Tribolium castaneum: one gene and its partner. The protein of the gene in region 1 interacts with the protein of each later gene in a pairwise test. Links are inferred from orthologs where the notes say so. Each region holds a gene or a part of one and is shown in the gene's direction. Other genes may lie near its edges.

Region 1 (11,966 bases):
AGCTTGTTATAAAGCTTCGGGCCCCAATGGTCAATGCTGTGCTGTGACACTTTAAGCCGATGGTACGGTGTTGAGAGCGCGTCAGCGTGTCTTGTGTTATGCTCGTGATATGAGCCATTCTTGATGAACTCGTGGAGGTGGTTGTGGACGTACCTCAGACAGCTCAATATGTACGCGGAAGGGATGGTAAGAATTTGTTGTTGTTTGAAGGCTGGGCGGCAGCTTTCCCGATAGTTCATTTGGCACAGGATTCTGATTGCTTTCTTTTGCAGGACGAAGATCTTGTCAGCATCTGATGAAGTACCCCATAGAAGTATACCATAGGTGGCTTTGCTGTGGAAGTTAGCAAAGTATGTCACCCTTGCAGCTTGGGGAGTTGAGATATTCTTGATTCTTCTGATACTGAATAAAGCTGATGCTAGGTTTTTGCAGGTTTCCTGAATGTGGTCCTTCCAAGATGCTTTGCTATTTAGGTAAAATCCCAAGAATTTTACCGATGTGACGTTGGTGGGTTTTGAAGATATAAATAGTTCCTGAGTCTTGTCTCCATTGAGTTTCAGTTTATTTGCTGTGAACCATTCATTGGCATCTTCAAGGATTTTTCTCATTTTTGGTTTTAGCGTATCCTCTGTTTCTTCTTTGATGCAGAAGGAAGTGTCGTCCGCATATAGACACTGTCCATCCACTCTCATATTGATAGGCAAGTCATTTACATAGATTATAAATAGCAGTGGACCGAGGATTGATCCCTGGGGCACTCCACACCTTGTTGGCAGAGGCTTTGACCATTTTTCATTCCATTTTACTATCTGGGTTCTATTTTCAAGGTAGGACTTAAAAATTTCTTGCGTGATCCCTCGTATCCCATAGTGTTGTAATTTTTGTAGAATCAACTTGTGTGGCAGGGTGTCAAACGCTTTGCTTAGATCGCACATCGCTACTTCTACCATTTCTCGGTTATCTAGGGCTCTTGTTATTTTCTTGTATAGATCCAATGCTGCAGTAATGGTTGATCTACCACTTCTATAGCCATGTTGTGACTCACTAAATAAGTCATTTTGCTCAAGATACTTCATTAAACGATTCTTCAGAGCAGCCTCGAAGACTTTTGAAATTGTAGGTAGAATAGAGATTGGTCTAAATTTGTTGATGTTTTCTACTTCGCCTTTTTCTTTTGGAACCGGAATAATTTTTGCCACCTTTAACTCGTCAGGAAAGTATCCTTCAATAAAACTTTTGTTTATGAGCATAGTAAGTGGATTTGTAATTTCTAGGAGTATTTCTTTCAAAAATGACGTAGACATATCGTACACATCTTTGGAGTTTTTGCATTTTAAGGATCTTATCAGTCTTGTGACCTCTTCTTCACTAACAGGCGCTAACCAAAACGATTTTGCATTGCTTTTACACGCCTTGAGGAAATCACAAGGATCTTTGTCGATTTTTTTTATACTGTCTGACGTTTTCTCTCCTATCGTGGCAAAGTAGAGATTGAGTTCGTCGGCATTCAATTTGCATTCTTTGGTATTGCTTGTCTTCGTTTTTGTATTGATGATTTTCCAAATGGCTTTTTGCTTATTATCAGCATTGTTTAGGATATAAGCGTTGTAGTTTCTGTGGTTTTCTTCAATTTCTTGGAAGTAGCTGCGTTTATATGACTTGAAGACCTCAGCTGATTGTTGGCTTTTCTCAACTCTTGCTATTGTTTGTAGAGCTTCTAGTGTATTTTTCATACTCATGATTTTTTTACTAATCCACGTAGGTCTCTTATTGAATTTTGGTTTATTAATTTTTTCTTTTCTAGGGAAGAATTTGTCAAAGGCAGCTGTCAGAGTTGTATGGAAGACAGTGTAGGCCTCTTTTGCATTACGGTGTTTGAAGACACGAGCCCACTCAATTCCGGTTAAGTACTCCTTAAAGTAGTAAGTATTCTGTTCATTTATTCTTCTGTATATATGTTTTTCTGGTTTTCTAGGTTCTTGCACTGGGTTCTTAATCTTCAGGACTTGACAGTAGTGATCAGACATGCACCAACTTTTTGTCTCTTTTGAGAAGATTTCTTCTATGTTAATATTTGAAAATATATTATCTATGCAGCTAGAAGAAGTTTCAGTTGTTCTAGATGCCTCTCTCATTAGTGGTTGCATACCATATGTTGTGAAAGTTTCGATTAATAAAGATTGTTCGACGCCATCCTTGAGAATATTGGTGTTAAAGTCCCCAGCGACAATGTATCGTCTAGAGTGGTTCCTTTGTGTCAGGTTTTCTAGTGCTTCATTAATTTTATCTATGAAGTGCTTGAAGTTCTGATTTGGAGATCGATATACCGCCATTATTATTAAGTTTTTTGAAGGAATCTCAGCAGCTGAGATTTCTGCAGTGAATTCTTCACATAGGGGTCTAATGCCTTCAATATTTTTTGCGGAAATACCCTCCCTTGTTGCGATTAAGGATCCGCCATGCTGGTTAAGTGATCTGCTAAAGTGGCTTATAATATTATATCCTGGGATGGTTAAGCTTTCCAGGGTGTTGTCCTTGCACCAGTGCTCAGTGATAATTACAATGTCTACTTCGTCTTCTGTTAACTGTATAGTCAGTGCGTCTATTTTTTTCGATAGTGATTGTATGTTATAGTTTATTATTGTGGTTAGGTTTTCAAAACCTACCGATTTGTTGGGGTCTTCTTTTTCGTCGTTTCGTTGGTTTAATGATTGGCTTGTTTCGGGTTTTTTGTCCTGGACTGTGTTACCCTCCTTGTCAACTTGTTTTTTTTGCTTGTTGTTTTCTATCACCCTGTCAGATGGCTTGTTACTTTTTTTCTGAGCTTTTACGTTCGTCAGGTTTTCTCTTTCTTGGTTTGTGATGACATCTGTGTGTCCTTTGTTGGATCTTGTTATTGGTTTGGACGATTTGGTTTGTGACTCCGCTAACAGCTGATCTAACCTTTGTATTGTTCCGTTTTGATTTTGTATTTGTTTCAGACAGTCGTCAATTTTTCCCTTAAGGTTACTTACAATATCTATAAGGTGTCTCATCGCTTCCTCTTGCGAGGGTCTGATTCTGCAGGAGTCGCACACCCATTTGATATTTTCCTTGTAGTTATCTAGTACCTTGATTTCTCCAGGTTTGTATGGGCTGCATGCATAGTGAATGCATGTGTTGCACTTTCCATAACAAAGGATCACTTTGTCGATGTTTATATTTACTGTTTCACGGCACTGTTTACAGACGTGTGTCGTGGTCGCCATCTGTAGGTCTCGCAGAATGAGTAAAAAAAAACGTTCAAAACTAGTGTTAAACCGTGGGTAATAATTCCGGATAAAGAAGTGTTTTGGGTCGATTTTTTTAAACAAAAAATTTTAACACGAAAAAAGTTTGTATGGGACGATTTTACATAAGGTATCTTTGATTTTGAGACGCTCTTAGTAATTAATGTGCGTGAAAACATGAGAATATAAAGATAACACTTATTTTAAGCTGTTTTTTGAGTCAAAAAACAGTTAAATCGCTTAAAAGCGGCTTAAATTACATCAATTTCGGTCTAATTTTTAATTAAAACATTTTGACTACGAATATCTAAAGGTTAGGATAACAAACGACGTACAAATAAAACGTTCCCGTCCCCAATAGTTTCGTTAATGTCGCCAGAGAGCGCAGTTATCTAAATTTTTGAAAAAAATTGTTGTATTTGTACAACGGTTAACACATAGCAAACAAAAAAAACACAGCCAGATAGAGCATTAAATTCTCAATAGTAAGACATAAACATAAGCAAGAATTTTACTGTAATCTATTTAAAAAAAATTCAAAGTTTAACCAATTTGCTCTCTGTCCCATATTTTTCAAAACGCTGCGAATACCGTTACAGATACAAGAAAAATGTTAGAAAAAAAGTTGTAGAGAAGTAAATTTCCTACAAAAAAGTCCGCAAGACTAGTTCTCTATCTTCAACCATTTAGTCCCCAAAGTCGTTCAAAAACGCTCAAGCGCGGATTTGCTTCATTTTGTATTGGAAATTTAATTTATACTTAAACCGCTGAAAATAAAAACATAATTTTTATAATTTTTTTGTATTTCGTAAGAAATACAAAACTTTGCGCAAATTCTAAATTTTAAATAATTTTTTTCTCATCTTTCTTTCAGTTTTTCTCAAGTGCTACGACAACATTTCTGTATTTTTTCCAAGTAATTAGTGAATTGGTTGAATTTTTACTCGGCCGTACTATTTTTTTGGTACGTTTCGTCTCCTAACTTATAGTCCTCCGTAGACTCGATAAAGAAATTTAGTGCTTTTACAATTAACAATCAGAGGGCGCGACACTCACAACACTAATACGGTGATTGTATGTTTATAAAATTATTTTTTTAGCACAAGAAATCTATAATCGAGTTGCTTGAAATTCCAACTACACATAAAAACATCAAAAAACATTGTAATAAATGCTAGAACGTTTCGTAACAAAAAAAAAATTACAGGTTGCGCTTCTAAGTTACAGATACCTGTAAAAAAGGGGCGTCCAGTTTTGACGCTGTCAGTGCGCAGGTGTCAAAACTGTCAATTTCTCTAATTTTATCTGTGGTGTTTAGCAGAAAAACATAATTTGTGTGTAAACAACAAGAAAACATTCAATAAAACCGTAACGAAATATTCAGGTACGTTAACGTGGTTGTTGTACAGAAGTAACTAACAAGAGACACTAACAGGTGTTGAATAATAATGGATAAACATATCCAAACTATAATAAAAGGAGGAAAAGAAGCAGCAGAATCGCTACAATGTTTCGTTGAAGAGGTATGTATAAATATTTAATGACAGTTACAATAAACAACAATCTTGTATTGAAGGCTTCACAAGTATTCGAGTTTCCAGAACTCAATAAAAATAACCAACGGAAAGAATTATGGGAGGCATTATTTACATTGGCCAAAACAGCCAATAGTGAGATTACACTAATGAATTGCTTTATCGCAATTCGTATATTAAGGTATTTGCGGAATTATTCCGAAATGAATTGGCATATGGTAGCTAAATCCTAAACTATTTGATTGATTTGAGTTACCAACAGAAATTTAAATTTCCGTAGCCACCTATGCCAATTCAAATCAATACAATTTCGGTGATAATTCATAACATGCAAAAAATTTTAGTCGGGAAAAAATGGGTCTGAACGAGTTAATAACAGACGAATGGTTCAAACTCATGCAAAAACACTCCGGTTTGGACGATCCCCAGTACAAATTTGATGCTAGTAAATTATTATTGGCAATTGAAGTGGAAAAATGTTTATGCAATGTGATTTTCAACAGTCCTGTTGCTGCAGGACTGTGTTGCAAAAATGGTGTTTTGGAACAGTTAACTGAACGTATCAAAAATCCCCAAGAGAATAAAATACCGGAAGAAATCAGATTTTACGATGTTAAGCTCATTTTCCTACTAACAGCACTGTGTTCTGAAGTTCGCTCAAAAGTAAAGGAAGAATTAAAAGGGGTCGAATCTTTGCTTAAAATGCTAGATGAGATGCTGAAAGAAGCGGCCCAAGCATCACCCGAAAAAATTATTTTGGATGTAAGTATAGTTATATTTTTTTTAACAATTTATTTTGAGACACCCTGTATAATAAATTTTTTAAGACAACTTGTTGTTTATTCAATGAAGAATATTTCTTTGTGCAAAAACAGTTTGTAGGCATCGTTTTATTAATTCATTAATTAAAATAATTTTAATTATAAGGAAGTGTGGAAAAAATCTAAAAAAAAATCACATGTGTAGGGAAATAGTGGAAGATGTTTTAATAAAGTAATATTAATTATCTTGCTTGTTTTTTCTGTTTTAGGACCAAAAAGTGGACCTGGCTTGCGAAATTCTGAAAGCCCTATTTAACGTAACATTAAGTTACGGCATCTATGACGATAAAGAAGAAAACGAACAGTGTGACCATTTGGTCACTCTCTTAAGAATGTATCTTCTTGTACCAACACAAGATAAAGAAAAAGGCCTGGCATTAAAAAACAACGTAATCAATTTACTAACAAACATGCCTGATTCAACTTTCAAAAATCTGATAACACCTGTCCAACCTGGCCAAAACCTCAAACCCAAATTTCAATTCGAAGGCCAGAATATGACGGCTTTTTACGAAATCCTGATGGTGCTAAAAAGCAAATTTAACAACGTTGAAGGTGTCACAAAACAATACGAAATTTTGTGTCCTGTCGTAACAATTTTATTGAAAAGTGCAAACAGTGAACGTGCTATTCGAAAATATCTCCGTCTCCAAATTCTTCCACCTTTGAAAGATGTGCACAGTCGACCTGAACAAGGCTCCACACTTCGTAATCACTTGTGTCGGCTTTTAACCACGCCGATAACACAGTTGAGGGATTTGGTGGCCGATTTGTTGTTCATTTTGTGCAAAAAAAGCGGTAAAAACAATTCATTTTATTTATTTTTTAAATAATTATTATAATTTTAGTCAAAAGGATGATTAAGTATACGGGTTATGGCAATGCTGCGGGTCTCTTTGCCAAAAGGGGGCTCTTAGGGGGGCGCTCAGATAGAGGCGAGGCTGATTATAGTTCAGGTAGTGAGGGAAGCGAAACTGAAGAATATGCCGAATTTAAACATGGGATTAATCCAGTGATTGGGTGTTACGAAGAACCGCATCCCAACGCAATGGAAAATATGACAGAGGAACAGGTAATTTGATTTTGTTGAAAAAACGGTTATTGTGGCTCCTGGCGACCCACAACAAAAATTGTTTTTTTTTTTTGTTGAGGAAAAAAATAATCAGGGTAATTTTTTTGTTTGCAGAAAGAGTATGAGGCCATGAAGTTGGTCGAATTAATGGACAGTTTGACCAGATCTGGGACCATCCAACCATGTAGAGTAGGCGAGGATGGGAAACCTCATCCCATCAAACATGTGTTACAATTGCAGGAAGGTATAAAAGCGCAACAAGTCAACAATGACAGCGATAGCGATGATTAATTTATTTTTAATAAATAATAAATGTCGTAAACCTAGTCTGCATTTTAAAATGATTGAATCAAATCGTTTACTATTCTATTGTTTGTATTTTTAACGAAACGATGTTAGGAAAAATAGTGAGATTATTTCTTTATGTACGTATTTTATTTAATATTATTTATGTTGTGATACTTCCGTTTTAATGATCGAATAAAGTCGCACTGAATGTGATTTGTTTGTTTCAATATAAACACCAATTAAGTTGTATATTTTTTATTGAAAAACTTATTTAAATACAATAGCAAATTTTAAAGTAATCATTCACCCTTCACTCCTTTAGCTTCCATACATAATCTCGATATAAGTCCCGACATTTGCACCAAAGAGCACAAACCATCAACAATCCTCATATGTGTGACCCCAATTTGTTTAATAAAAGCAAGTTTCAAACTCTCCTCCATGTCCATATTTTTGCAAACCTTGAAAATATTCTTAATAATATCCTCGGCAGCGTACCCCAAACTCCACAAATGATCAACAATCTGCAACAAAACTCCACTAAATAACAAAAAAAAACACGTATTCAAATTGTTACCGACCTTGAACGCCTTCCTTACATCACCAGTAACACAACTGTTGAGCATATCTTTAATTAACATAGGATGGGGCTCATCGCACACTTTCAGCACATTAGTGGAATTAACAACCCCAAAGCCGTTAAAAGTCGACTGTAAATTATTCAACGCTTGTCTCATATCCCCCTGAGCTGTGAACACAATCGCCTCAAGCCCATCCTGCGTATATTCAACACTCTCCTGTTGGCACACTTGTATCACCCTTGCCAACACTTGGGCATCCGTTAAGCGGGAGTACCGCAAAATAGCACACCGTGACTGAATCGCTTCTATCACTTTTTCACTGTAGTTACAAGCCAAAGCGAACCGAGTCGTATTACTGTAAATTTCCATCGTGCGTCTTAGGGCTTGTTGCGCCCCTTCGGTCATACTGTCCACCTCGTCCAAGATAATGATTTTGTGGCGTCCAGGCGGGAGAGTGACTTTTTGTTGCGCAAACATTTTGATTTTGTTACGGACAACGTCTATACCTCTGTCGTTTGACGCGTTGAGTTCGAGAACAGCGTCTTTAAACGCTGGGCCTAAAAGGATTCGGGCCAGGCACAGGATTGTGGTGGTTTTGCCCACGCCAGGAGGCCCCTAGTTAATTGTGGAGTGGATAGGGGGAAAATTACACTTACGGCAATGATTAAATTGGGGAGGTTGCCCTGTTTGGCGATGACTGACAGGCGATTGGTGGTGTCTTCATTGCCTACGATTTCTTGGAAAGTCTGGGGGCGGTATTTTTCGATCCTGTTAACGAACTGTTAGAGATTGTGGTTGGAAGTGAGGGAGTTACCAAGGGAGGTTATCGGCTTTTTGTAACGGGCCTTGGCCGGGTTCGGCCGAAGGGCCCGCCTGTGGGGCTTCTTCTACTTCCATTGTCTCCATAATCAACTAACACAACGTATTGACAGTTTCCCTCCAAAGTTAAATTTTGTAGGTTAGTGTTCGGGTGTCATTGACATTGATTTGTGTGAAGACAGCTCCCCAAACCAGCTCCTCGAAATTCCGAAGAAACCCGAACATGAAGCCAGTTTCACACTAGCAAAATACGTTTCAATTTGCGTAGATGTATGTTTGGTTGTCAGCTTTGAAACCGTTTAATAAAATAAAAATCCGAAAAAACACTAACACCCTCTTAAAAATGACATTTTAAGAAAGTCACTTTGCTAATAGCGAAAAACTCAATTATTTACCACAAATTGCTTCATAATTTTTCCCACTTTTTCACCTAATTTCAATATTTATAGCTCCGCAAATGCACTATTGCAGTTTTCGCCCCATTTCACCCCGAAATCGGTTTTGTCACACAATGCCCTTTTGACCACCAATTCAACAATAAAAAAGATGTTTTTTTTAGAGTTTAGTTTAATCCCAAATAACTCGAGAACGGTACAGTTTGACGACATGAAGCAAGAGTACCTTTTTTATTAAAAAATAATTGGGCTTTTGATTTTTGACATCAAAAATACGTGTTTATAGGCCGAAAAATTGAGTTATCACCTAAAAACTGGAAGGGTCCCCTTGTCACCGGAAATGTATAGCTTTTACAAGATTTCCATTTACACCATATCAAAGAGCGTCTTTGTGTCTCTTGACATGCAAAATTTCATAATAATCGCATGAACGGTAACAAAAATATTTTCAAAAAACCATTTTTCCATACCAATTTCTGAAAAATTGTAATTTTCCAATTTTTTGTGGTGGGTCAGTAAATACTATCCTATCTATTCTTAATTGTAGAGGGGTATTCGTGGTTAAAATTATGCCACACATTTTTGAATCACCCGATATTATCAAGTTATTATCTAACCAAGTTTCAGTGAATGTGTGTAGAACAAAAGAATTATCTAGATTTATCTACAGGCTGCTCAAAAACTGGCGCACCAACGCAGTGGTACGTTGTTGAGAACACGTGTAGATCACGGGAAAAATGTTAAAAAAATTCCTAAAGTCATATTTTAAAAAATCAAGAGCTACAAACTTATTGTGTTAACTTCTTTAGTTATCATTATTTTTTTATATTTCTATGTTTCATACCAGGTAATCGTTCCGTAACAAAACGATGAATAATTATTTTTAAATTTACTATCAGATTTTAGCAGTTTTTTTAATTAAAAAAAATTAAAATTCATCCAAAAAATCACAATGTGTAGATGTGCCAACACTGGGAATTATTTCCTAGGAAACCGTTTCAAAAATAATTTATTTTTATTGTTGATCAAATTCTATTGCGATCATGACTGTTAGACAACGTTGCCACATATCATTTATCTAAAATTAGTTATTTATCAATAACTTTAATTCAAAGAATTTTTTTACTATTTTTACCTTTATATGTAACCAGTTCTCTACCACACACCAATGAGTTGGTGCGCCAGTTTTTGAGCACGCTGTATACTGACTGTTTAAATTTAAAGATCTACCTTTTTAATGAAAATAGCAACAGCGGATTTGCATTTTTTTTATTGAAATAGGGCACAAAAGTAGACTTTATAGTTATAGTATAACTAATGGACCCAGAAATTAAGAAAAATTTTTTTGCTTAAGATTATTAGAAACCATTTACAAATTCATTATGTAAGTAATTTAGTTTTGATAAAAAGAATGTTGTTTGCGCTTTGCATTGATCTGAGACACTTTTATTTTTGTATATATATATATATCTAAGGGCCATTAAGTTAATTTGCAACTAACAAATTAACTTAATGGCCCTTAGATATATATATATATATATATATATATATATATATATATATATATATATATATATATATCTAAGGGCCATTAAGTTAATTTGCAACTAACAAATTAGCAAATTTGATTTGATTTGCGTTGTTAACTTTTAACAACGAATTAAATTTTAACAAACCATTTTATAAACGGGCCCCAAACGTTATATTAAATAATCACACTAACAAGAAGTAATAAATAATAATTAACACGAAAGTATTTGAATGGCATTAGTCGGACCATTGATTCAAAAATATGTACGATATAAAATAATTGAGAAATTTTTTATTCAGTAATTTGTTAAAATCGGGTAATTAATTATGAAGTCGCAATTTATGGCACTTTTTACACATTTCTAAAAAAATTATTGATGAAACTAATTTTTATCGAGGATTAATTTTTTATTCGTTTTCACTTTTGTTAGCTCTTTTGTCACAACTAATAATAATAGACAAAAGTCTTGTATCACTCAAGGATGAAATATCACGGGATTAAACTATTGAAGCTGGATTTTTAACCACTAAACTAAACGTCTGAAGACGTAATCCGTTAAAACACTGGATTAAAAGAGAATTAGAACAAATTCAATTCAATTTTATCGAAGAATCAGCAGATTAGACTGTTGTTTATCCACCACGTTTATAAAAGAGATTCTGCTCTCGATACCTCAGTAGATATCGCAATGAAAGTGCCAGTACTGATAGTACTAGCCCTCGTGGGCTTGTCTAGTGCCAAATACGAGGGCTCAACAATCTTGAGTTTAGCATTGAAATCGAAAATGTTGGAACCGCCATTCAGGCTGAAAAACACTACCACAAATCGAGACAAGCTTTAGGTTTGGGAACAATTACTTTTGACCAATATTTACGCCACGCTGAGGTAACACTTGGAAAAAATAACTCCCGTTTTTAGTTATTGTTTTAAAGATTAATGCTTATTTGGCCCAACTGGCTAAAGACTACCCCGACACTGTCACTCTAGGAACAATCGGACAGTCGTACGAAAAACATTCCCCGACTACAATCCGATCTATTCTTACAGCATCTCCTCTTTCACGACAGCTTATACCGTTTATAGGTATGTGTCTATCGAGGAGAATCATCGGCACGACCATCAATCCTGAATTCGTCTTCGACTCATGAGCCTTTGGCCTTTGGCGAATCAACAGGACAGTAAAATTAGCTGAACTTGGTGAACAAACCAAGCATTTGGAAATTTAAATAGAATTTTATTATTAACACTATAAACAAATCATTAGCAGAATAATAAAATAAGTATTAATTTTTTTAACATAATAAATTATAATAGTGTATCACTACAGACAGATTTACTTATTCCTTCAGTTCCAACTTGATATGTTATAAAAACTTTCTTCTCCTCTGGCTCGAATGTCAAACCAGCGTAAATCTTTTTTGAAATGTGTTTATAGTCAGGTTCATCAAATTTAGTGTAATATTGCTTCTCAAAAATTTGTTGTAAAGCTTCATTTGCAGACTTGGAATACATTTTGTATTCAAAAATGATTCCAACGTTCTTACTGATTATCACCACATCTAGGGTATTGGCTATCCCTGGTCGTTTTCTTTTTTTCTTGATCTGGACCTCACTGTGTGTTTCGAAGTATCTGGAGTTATATACCAGAGTATACA
Region 2 (10,544 bases), on another chromosome or scaffold:
GAATGTAACATAGCTGAAACTACTAGATTGCCTTAAACCTAACATTTTAAAATAAATTTGATATTTTGAAAATAGTTCATTATATAAGTGAGTGATGTGTTTCAGAAAGGAATCGCGAACATATAATGCCACTTTTTCTTTACGTGTATAATGCCACTTTTTCCCTTATAAGTACATTGAGAATTTTTTTAAATTTTTCACCCATAGGATAAAGAAATCATCAAATAGAAAAAAATATATCAAATGGCCACTTTATTCTATTGACTAAGATAAAAAAATAACTAAATCAAGTAACCGCTTGTAGAATATCTATGGAATAAGCAACAACATTATTAATACCTATAAGCAGTGGCGGAACTAGCTCCCAATTTTTGGGTGGGCACATAGGTGGGCCAACAAAATTTTTGTTGGGCACATAACACTTAATACCAGTAATAAATAATCTAATATTTTTCCCTTAACGACACTGTCCAGATTTCAGTTAATTTTGCATGTTGCCAGACTAATAAACTGAAAAAAAACATACTAAATTAAAAAAAAAATCTGCAGCCGCATGAAAAATAATATCAAATGCGTTTTCTATGAAACTTTTTATTTTATTGTTTAGAGTTGTACCAGTTTTGTATCTTCCAGCAAAAATTTTCTCGCTTAGACACGATTAATCTCACAATGCGCACTTACATGTCCAACTTTTTTTGAGCAGTTTAGTTTTTGACTCAATATTTTAATATATCGGGTGATTCAAAAATATGTGGCATAATTTTAACTACGAATACCCCTCTAAAAATGAAAATAGATAGGATAGTATTTACTGACCCACCTCAAAAAATTGAAAAATTACAATTTTTCAGAAATTGGTATGGAAAAATGGTTTTTTGAAAATATTTTTGTTACCGTTCATGCGATTATTATGAAATTTTGCATGCCAAGAGACACAAAGACGCTCTTTGATATGGTGTAAATGGAAATCTTGTAAAAGCTATACATTTCCGGTGACAAGGGGGCCCTTCCAGTTTTTAGGTGATAACTCAATTTTTCGGCCTATAAACACGTATTTTTGATACCAAAAATCAAAAGCCCAATTATTTTTTAATAAAAAAGGTACTCTTGCTTCATGTCGTCAAACTGTACCGTTCTCTAGTTATTTGGGATTAAACTAAACTCTACACTGCTCTGCAGAATAGAAAAGTATAAATTTTGAGCGTACCATTACCTTGGAAACAGTTCACTACGAATGACACAGATGTCATTGCTGTCACATTTGATGTCAATTTCATTTAATCCAAAGTAAATTTTGATTATTTCTTGATGATAATAGTAAAAGACATGATTATGTGTTGGAAGAAATAATGCATGAGCTAGCGATAGCCATCCCGGCATCACAACTTGGTCTGAGACTACACCACAAGGTTTTCACACCGTAAAACGATTTTCCCTCCAAATTGCTGGTTTTATCAATACTTCACTACTTGCATTATAAAACTATAATCCAAATGAAGAATTAAAACGATCAGAGACCAAGAACACAATCTCAACTGTAACAAATCACAAAATAAAATCTTATCAACTATTTGTAATGCCAATGTTGCAATTTTTCTTTAATAGGAAGTTGATTTGATCCACAAAAGAATAACGCACGGCTTAATGTTAATTTACATTTTTGAAAATTACAAGAGCTTCGACAACAATGAGCACAAAAGCAACAAATGCCGCCAGCGTGCTAATTGGCGCCAGTGCTATTTTTCATAAGCGCGAATATCAAAAAAAATATGAATGATGAAGTCAATGTTTTTTTATTAAACAACAATAATAACCTGGATCATTTTTTTTTCTTGACTTACCAGTATGGGGTGATCAGGGCATCATTTCCAAATACTAAAATAATTTTTTAATCGTTATGACTGTATGATTTTTTTTTCGCGCTTACGAAAAATAGCACTGGCGCCAATTAGCACGCTGGCGGCATTTGTTGCTTTTGTGCTCATTGTTGTCGAAGTTCTTGTAATTTTAAAAAATGTAAATAAACATTAAACCGTGCGTTATTCTTTGCAGGTTTCAACTACCTGTGGATTAAATTAACTTCCTATTAAAGAAAAATTGCAATAATGGTACTATAAATGGTTGATAAGATTTTATTTTGTGATTTGTTACAGTTGAGGTTGTGTTCTTGGTTTCTGATCGTTTTAATTCTTCATTTGGATTATAGTTTTATAATGCAAGTATTGAAATATCGATAAAAATAGCGATTTGGAGGGAAAATCGTTTTCTGGTGGTGTGCCATCAGATCAAGTTGTGATGCCGGGGTGGCTATCGCTAGCTCATGCATTATTTCTTCCAACACATAATCGTGTCTTTAACTATTATCATCAAGAAATAATCAAATTTTACTTTAGATTAAATGAAATTGACATCAAATGTGACAGCAATGACAGCTGTGTCATTCTTAGTCGACAGTTTCCAAGGTAATGGTATGCTCAAAATTTATACTTTTTTATTCTGCACTGCGGTGTAGAGTTTAGTTTAATCCCAAATAACTCGAGAACGGTACATTTTGGCGATATGAAGCAAGAGTTCCTTTTTTATTAAAAAATAATTGAGCTTTTGATTTTTGGTATCAAAAATACGTGTTTATAGGCCGAAAAATTGAGTTATCACCTAAAAACTAGAAGGGCCCCCTTGTCACCGGAAATGTATAGCTTTTACAAAATTTCCATTTACACCATATCAAAGAGCGTGTTTGTGTCTCTTGACATGCAAAATTTCATAATAATCGCATGAACGGTAAGAAAAATATTTTCAAAAAACCATTTTTCCATACCAATTTTTGAAAAATTGTAATTTTCCAATTTTTTGTGGTAGGTCAGTAAACACTATCCTATCTATTCTTAATTGTAGAGGGGTATTCGTGGTTAAAATTATGCCACATATTTTTGAATCACCCGATATTTGTACCCATAGATTCAATATAGATGTGAATCAGTTTGTAGTAGATGTATTTAAAACTAGTAAATTGTTAATAAATATCAAATAATAAGTTAAATTAGATTATAATTGCTCACAATGTAACAAAATTCCTCTATTTTGATTAGAAGAATTAAATTAAAACTTCTCAGAGTTTATAAAGTCTTTCGTTTCTCAGTGAGTTACAAAAAAAATGTGGATGATCTTCGTAATTTAATTCGAATCTAAATCTGATTCAAAATCCTTTTTATTGGTTTCTATAGAAACCAATCAGTTTTCTAAATCAGAGGGCTTTATTTCAAAAATCAAAGAAAACGAAACTTACGTTTTTTTAACTTAATTTTTTTAACCTTTTTTACAAAAAAATCATGAACCAATCTTTTAACGGTTACTAATTTTTACGTAATTTATGTTTCTGCAAAGTTGTAAAAATTCAAAATATCGTAAGTTTTTTTAGGTGGGCAAATTTTGTTCTAATTAATAATTGTTCTGAAATTGATCCCAAATCTATTTGCCTAATTTGCTTTTTAAATTTTAGTTTTTAGCAAGTAAACATTTCAGTATCAGTGAGTACTTTGTGAAAGCAAAAACTGGTTTAAACAGAAGCATCTCGAAATAAAAAAAAAATAAAAACAACGGCATTGCCTATTTTTCTTAACGACAGTACACTGCATACAGTCGGCTGTCCCAAGCAAAAACACAGCAACCAACAATTTTTTAACACTTTTTGCTTTATTTTCACGCTTAAATTCATTTTTTTTTTTAAACAGTAACTGCAATAGAACATTCCTTTTCCAAAGTAAATTCCACAAAATATCTTAGAGACGATCGATTGTACTCCATATGTTTAAGTAAAAATAACTCATATACACGGTGAGTTAATAGTGGGTTATTTCTGACATGTGCTAAAATGCAACCAAAAATACTATGGTAGCGCTCAGCTCCATTTGCGTGTGCGTCATCTGACATTTCTGTCACTACGTTTACATAGCAGGGCCATAGCGGTGACAAACTATCAAATATTTTTTGAGGTTACGAAGTGTTTAAATTAAAAAAATACAAAAAATACAGATTCACAAAACAAGAACTAATAAACGCAGAATCAAAAACCTAACGAAACGCAAATCCCAAAACACAATAAACGAACGAAAAATACTTGCGATTAACACCGATAACACTTTCGACAACCATGCGACGACGTCTATGATTTACTGTCAATGTCAGGTTGACAAATTCGTGACACTTAACGGTGTTGTCGAAGTGCACATGTATATTAATGTTCAAGGATACCACCCTTAGATACCCCTTAGTTGTTTAAATTTGCATTGTTTTTGACAATTTTTTTACAGCTTTGTGTTGGTAATGAAAAAATGAAATTGATGACGCACACGCAAATCGAGCTGACCGCCACTATAATTGCACTTACCACTTGGAACTTTGAGTTTTAAAAACATTAATTGAATCATCATTGGATTTTTATCTTTTAAATAATAATATTCCATAATGAAATTTTAACAAAACTGTCAAGACAATCTTGACAATATCCAGAACAATGTAATCTTGGATTATTTTTTTTAACGATTACCGATCTCGTTAGCTGGAATCGGTATTATCGGTTGCATATTTATGAAAATTCAGACACAACCCACTATTGACTCACCCTGTAGATGTAAAAAAGCTATATTTTATAATTTAATTATCAGGAAATACAATTTACATAATAATATCACTTTTAATTGAACTTTTAGTTAGTTAGATTGGCCACATCTCTCTATCTTGGGTTATTACATAAATTTATCTCGTAAATGTTAATATTTGTAATATTATTATTAATTACTTACTGTTGTACTAAAAACTGCTTGAAATTGTAACAAGTGTTCATTAAAAAAACACTCTAGAGTGAATTGAAATTAAAAATCAATTATTTTGTATGTCTATGATATTTCGTTCTCTCATAACCTTACTTTATGACAATTAAAAAGACAACGGATTTTCATAAAAATATTTATTATTTATCAAAACTGTTGGGAATGTATTTCTTGTTGTTCAATACACATAACAGATCGACTATTTATCAATTTTGGTTACAAATTCTAATGAGCTGGTTTCGTAGGCAACCAACAATACAATGATAAAAATTGCTCCAAGACATCCGTAAAAATATCAGGCAATGCTGGGAGTTTTTTTTAATAATGAACATCTGATATTTGCTTTAAGTAGTAGCATTGAGTATTGAAGTAGTAGTATTAAGTAGTATTTGTAAAAAGTGAGCCAATGAAAACACAGTATATGGCAATATAAATTTTTTACGTTATTTTAGATAGTATAGTACTCACGTCATAAATTGCCCTTAAAAAACGATATTTTTAAGTTAAACAATTTGGGTAAAGAGACATTCTAAAAGACTGGTTAAATAAACTACTTTTTGAAAAGTTGTAAACATAAAAAATATGTATAAATGCGGCTAAACATTGAATTAACAACCACATAACTTTCTCTAAAAGTTATTTTTTTTTAATTTGCCACTATTATAGCAGGACGGCAGATGATTTATCAAACTTTACATTATTGCCCTTAAAATAGGAGCAAGTTTTTGCCATAATTTCTTTGGTGAAATAAATTCATTGAAGTTCCTGTTACGACTTGCCATGGTGCTAAAAAACAGGAGGCGCCCCTCAATGAAATAATGAAATCGTTACCGTTTGGTGTGAAGGGGTTGACGTTGGCCACCGGCTTCTGCTTGGTGTTGGTGACACTGCGCGGCTTCTCCGTGAAGAGCCGACACCTGGGGGCCGGCGTCGTGGCCGACTTCTGTATGATAGTCTTGGGGGTGAGAGGGCTGTCGAACAGTCGCAGCGCTCGCACCCGCTTGTACGGGGGGCTGTATGTCGGGTTGGACGAAGCTGAACGCCTCGGTGAGGGGCTGCGTACATAGTCACTCGAAAGTTCGAAAGACAGCTCACAACCTGACGACGAGTCCAGATCGTTGGGGGGCTCCGAGTCAAACGTGATCTCGGGAGTCTTCCGGCGCACTTCAGACATTTCTCACGCACAAAAAACGCCCAAAATTCGCAAAAAAACAAACACACGCTCTATTTTCGACACGGAAACGGTTACGAAAATCGACGCATCTGGGGTTTGAGTCGACCAATCACAACGCGCGAAGCTACGCGCTGATTGGCCGCGGGCGGACGCCATTTTAGTGTCAATTTGACGACGGCGCGAGGTTTGAAAAGTGACACGTCGGTGGTGTTTGAATCACCACAACTGGGGCTCATTTACTTATCCACTGTGTCAAAGACGCTCAGAGGGGTGACTGATTTGTTATTGCAAGGGTGGGCGACAAATTTGGTGATAGGTAAGCCACAAGTGGGCAAGTGACAGGACTGGTGACCTAATTACAGAAAACAGCCCCCTTGTCATGGCAGACGTGTCCGTGGATGTGTCGGGGGTGATGTCGCCCCCTGAAAATTCACCACGGACCCCGTTTTCAAGGTATGAGATTTTTAAGCGACCTAACCTCAATTCTAGAATTTTCTAGTTTTCTGCAAGTTCCGACCCAAATACCGGACCCGAAAGAATGGTTTAGTAAACAAAGACAAAACGTGCGTCCCTGGCTATTATTCATACAAACTTCCAACTTCAAGACGCCCCCTTCAGTCCCAAGACTCAGCAAACGAATTATGAGAAACATCGAGTACTTCCAGAGCAATTATTTATTTGTTTTCCTCGGTTTGGTTGTTTATTGCTTGTAAGGAGCCCCTCAGTGTGAGCACCAACCCCAAAATTCTACTTTCAGAATAACCTCGCCTTTGATTCTATTCGCCCTTGCTGGGACTTTTTACGCAGGCTACAAGCTTAACAAAAGGCACCAAGAGAAGAAAATCGTGCTTTTTAAAAAAGAATTGACTTTGGCACAAGTTTATGGAGTGGTAGCACTATGTTCCATGCCAGTTTATTACATGGTGGGGGCCCACGGGGCCATGTTTTGGGTCCTAGGAGCCTCATTTTTCCTTATTACTTTACATGCCTCGTTCTACAACATCGACGCTGTGATCGCGCAAGGAGAAGACGGTTTTCCGCTCTTAGAACAAGTCTAATTTTGTACAATTTTATTAAATGTTTTACCCGCCCTGTGTCAATTCAGTCACGTGACCCGACTCACACTGCTCATTGGCGGAGGCCATGGCAACGCCACCACGTGATGAGTGTGTCAAAAAAGCCGTGTAAAATTTATAGAAAATACGTTTATTTTTCGTAAAAGCCAAATTATATTATGTACTGATATTCTTGAAGAAGAAGAAATTTATCTCTTAAGATTTGAACTACTTTTATACCCGATAAAACGGATAATATACAATAATTATATATAACAAACTCGTAACTAACTAATTAATTAATGCGAATTGAAACAACATCCGAATTAATTAGAGCCAGTGTGTGAATCGATGTTTTTTTTAATATATAACTATAGCTTGTTATTTTATGAAATATTTTCCCCGCCTTGTGTCAAATTCAGTCACGTGACCCGACTTATGCCGCCCTATTGGCGGAGGCCATGGCAACGCGACCACGTGACGAGTGTCAAGGACGCGATTGGCGGTGTGCATGGCAACGCGACCACGTGGATGGGTGTGTCAAATCCAAAGCCGTGTCAAATTTATAGAAAATATGTTTATTTTTCGTAAAAGGCAATTAATATCATGTACTGATATTTTCCAACTAGAGAAATTAACTGTTTGTACAATAACTATTTTGATAAAGGGGTGGAACAACCTAAATTTATGTACAATAAACTGAAAAATTAATTAATTACCTGACAACAAAACGGAAGAAATGCGCCCCGTTTGGCAAACTCATAACTAATTAATGCGAATTGAAACAACAAATTAATAAATTAACAATAGCCAATGTGTGAATTGACATTTTTTTAAATATATAACCATAGCTCGTAACACTTTGAAAACATTGCCTAGCTAATAAAATATACACAATTATAAAAGCGGTGTGCAATAATAATTAAAAAAAGCGACCCCGACGTTCAGTTTCTAGGTCTCAAATAAAATAATATGACACCTCGTCTTTCAGTGGAAAAAAAACTTAATTCTTAGGTGTAATTAATACAAGACTAGTATTTTAATCTATAATAACGTAAGGCAAAATTTTGAAAATTTCGCCGTTGTAGGAAGGTGTCTCGACGACCTCGTGCCACTCCCGAAACACTCTATCACCTGTCCTGTCACTCTCTGAAATGCTATATTTCTTATAATTCTCACAATCAAAGTCCGCTTTGACATCCTTCGGTATACTCTCCGTATTTACATTAGGCACTACGTTCACAAAGAGACCTCTATCGTCAACTTCAGGCCCCATTTTGGCCACTCCAACCCCCCAATTCCCATTCACATTATCAATAAACTTGCTATGTAGCTCCTCTGGAGTAACCTCTTCAGTTTTTTTCCTACCCTCAAAGTGTAACCTGGCTGCGCACTCCTCATCCTCAACAAACTCAAACGGTTGCCCCAACTCTTCCGTATCATCAACGGAAAAATCCTTGTGCTCCTTCAGAATACAGGTGCACACAGGCTGGGGCTCCTCCTCCTCGTCGACGACAAGCGGTGGCAGCTGCGCTAGCGCCTCCTCGACACTCAACGACGTGATTTTGGCCTCTTCGGGGGGCTCAGGGGGCGGCGTCTCCGGCGGCTTGTCTTCAACCGTCGGCTCGACATCGTCCACAACAATAACCTCCTCTTCAGGCGGTATCAGCGACTTGTCATTAATCACCGACCCCGACTCGATCACATTCTTGCCCCCCAAGTTAATTTTCCTCGAATTCTTGAACCGGTTAGCATTTGTATTAAGCTTCTGGTCAATTATTGACACCCTCTCCGTTAACTTAGCTGCACGCAAACTCAGATCTTCCTTCGGTTTAACAGGCGACGCCCCCAAGACCGTGTTATTCTTATTCTGGAGCCCCGCAATCAACTCTTGCGTGGTCTTCACCTTGGAGTTGCCCCTCGACACGGCCAACTTATTCGTGAACGACGTCTCAGCCTCATCGAGAAGATTCTTGTGGTTTTTGGAGCCTTTTTTGCGTCCGCGCTTCTTGGGTTGTTGTTGCTCGAGTTGTGGTTCTTGCTGACTCGAATTCGAGTCGGAATTAATGAGGATCACATCACGCTTCAATTTCGTACTTATCACATCTTTGAAACTCGAATTCGAGTTATCGGACAGTTCGAGTTCGGCCGTTTGGCCGTTCAGCTTGGGCCGCTTGGGGGAGGGGGACCGGTTGAGGGGGCGCTTCTCGAGGGGCTTCAGCTGGCCGTTGGAGTCGGGCAGCACCATATTGCGCCATTTCTTCACCAGCTCCTTGGCGCGCTTCGACAGCGAGTCGTTGTCGGTCTTGCGGCGCAGCTCGTTCACGTGCTTGCCCAGTCGGGTGGTCTGAAACGCACGATGAGGGGGCGCAACACTCGGGAGACACTTACCTCGAGCAGTTCTTTGGTAATTGTGACTTTTTCGAGGAGCGAGACGATTTCGATGACTGCAGGCATGTCAATGACCTGGAAAAAACGGGGTTAGTTGAGACAGTTGGGGCGCAAAGCGCCCCAACTGTCAAATTATTCGACTGTTTGGGTCAAGTGGCCAACCACGATTGGGCCGATTTGACAAAAGGCGATCGCGTTTTTGGCGTTATTTCGCCCGATTTCGGTGGGTTTTCGCGGTATTTGGCGGTCTCGGGCATGCAGCCGTGTGCTGGATGGTCGGGATAATGGTGTACGCTTTTCGGGCGAGTGTCGGTGTGATTTGGTAAAAAACAGGCAAATTCTTACATTGTAATTAGTGTCGAGGGCTCGTAGTAATCTGTGCGTCAATTCCGTTACGTTATTCTGCATTTAAAGTCGTCCTAAAGCGAGAAAAACGGGTATACTTTGACAGAACTGTTCGTAGTTCCTCTCCACAGTAATGGCGCAGGTACATTGCGCTTTGTGCAGTCCTCAGTCCGCACTGTGAAACACGGAACATGGTGCACCCGAACATACTGAGAGGGGATCGGTTCGGCGAACTCTAACGATCATTGCGCGTGTCCGCCAACCGCAAACCTCACCGCAGCAAAATCCCCCAGAAACGGGGCCACAAAAGCGACCGCGGAACGGCGCCCCCAGCCACGCCGCGACACTCGCGCGTCCCCCGACTCGCCTCTGGCGCGGTGCGGCGCCATCGGGGCCAAATGGGGCCCCGGAACCGCGCCAGGCCCCACGAGCGTCCGACGCCGTCACGTGACAGGTCGCTGGCAGGTTGGCACCACCGCCCGCGAAATTCAAACCAGAAACAGGGGTGTTGTCTTAACGCGTGATATATTTGACTAGGTAAACATTTATACATCTTTTGTACAGGACATTATACATATTGGCACGTCTTAAAACACAACCAATCGACAACGTAATAAAAATATACAACGGGGGGAGTTGGGCGCAACTTAATTATCTCACAGTGGTAACAATCCTAAGTAAAAAGTAACTGAGAATTATGGGTAAATCACAATAATGCTGCTGGAGATCTTCAAACGTGGCCAGCCACCG

Evidence for each region.
Region 2: the proteins of ric8a (region 1) and prenylated Rab acceptor protein 1 interact in binary tests that used the Homo sapiens proteins (3 or more experiments, as listed by UniProt). The link is inferred for Tribolium castaneum from reciprocal best matches to the Homo sapiens genes RIC8A and RABAC1.

The regions. Positions count from the first base shown.
Region 1 is NC_087402.1:963,885-975,850, forward strand, and holds ric8a (synembryn-A), read left to right. Parts: upstream 1-4,498; 5' UTR 4,499-4,653; intron 4,654-4,704; 5' UTR 4,705-4,717; coding exon 4,718-4,792; intron 4,793-4,845; coding exon 4,846-4,985; intron 4,986-5,148; coding exon 5,149-5,566; intron 5,567-5,834; coding exon 5,835-6,423; intron 6,424-6,473; coding exon 6,474-6,697; intron 6,698-6,811; coding exon 6,812-6,988; 3' UTR 6,989-7,198; downstream 7,199-11,966. Other genes in the region: RfC4 (replication factor C subunit 2), read right to left, coding at 7,285-7,509, 7,567-8,181, 8,223-8,334, 8,381-8,472; uncharacterized protein LOC135267077, read right to left, coding at 11,617-11,966.
Region 2 is NC_087401.1:8,445,025-8,455,568, forward strand, and holds prenylated Rab acceptor protein 1, read left to right. Parts: upstream 1-6,163; 5' UTR 6,164-6,319; intron 6,320-6,365; exon of another isoform or gene 6,366-6,372; 5' UTR 6,373-6,382; coding exon 6,383-6,456; intron 6,457-6,502; coding exon 6,503-6,712; intron 6,713-6,760; coding exon 6,761-7,061; 3' UTR 7,062-7,093; downstream 7,094-10,544. Other genes in the region: Wee1 (wee1-like protein kinase), read right to left, coding at 5,661-6,003; uncharacterized protein MED26, read right to left, coding at 8,098-9,405, 9,450-9,524, 9,795-9,857; protein zyg-11 homolog, read right to left, coding at 10,525-10,544. UniProt on the Homo sapiens protein: General Rab protein regulator required for vesicle formation from the Golgi complex. May control vesicle docking and fusion by mediating the action of Rab GTPases to the SNARE complexes.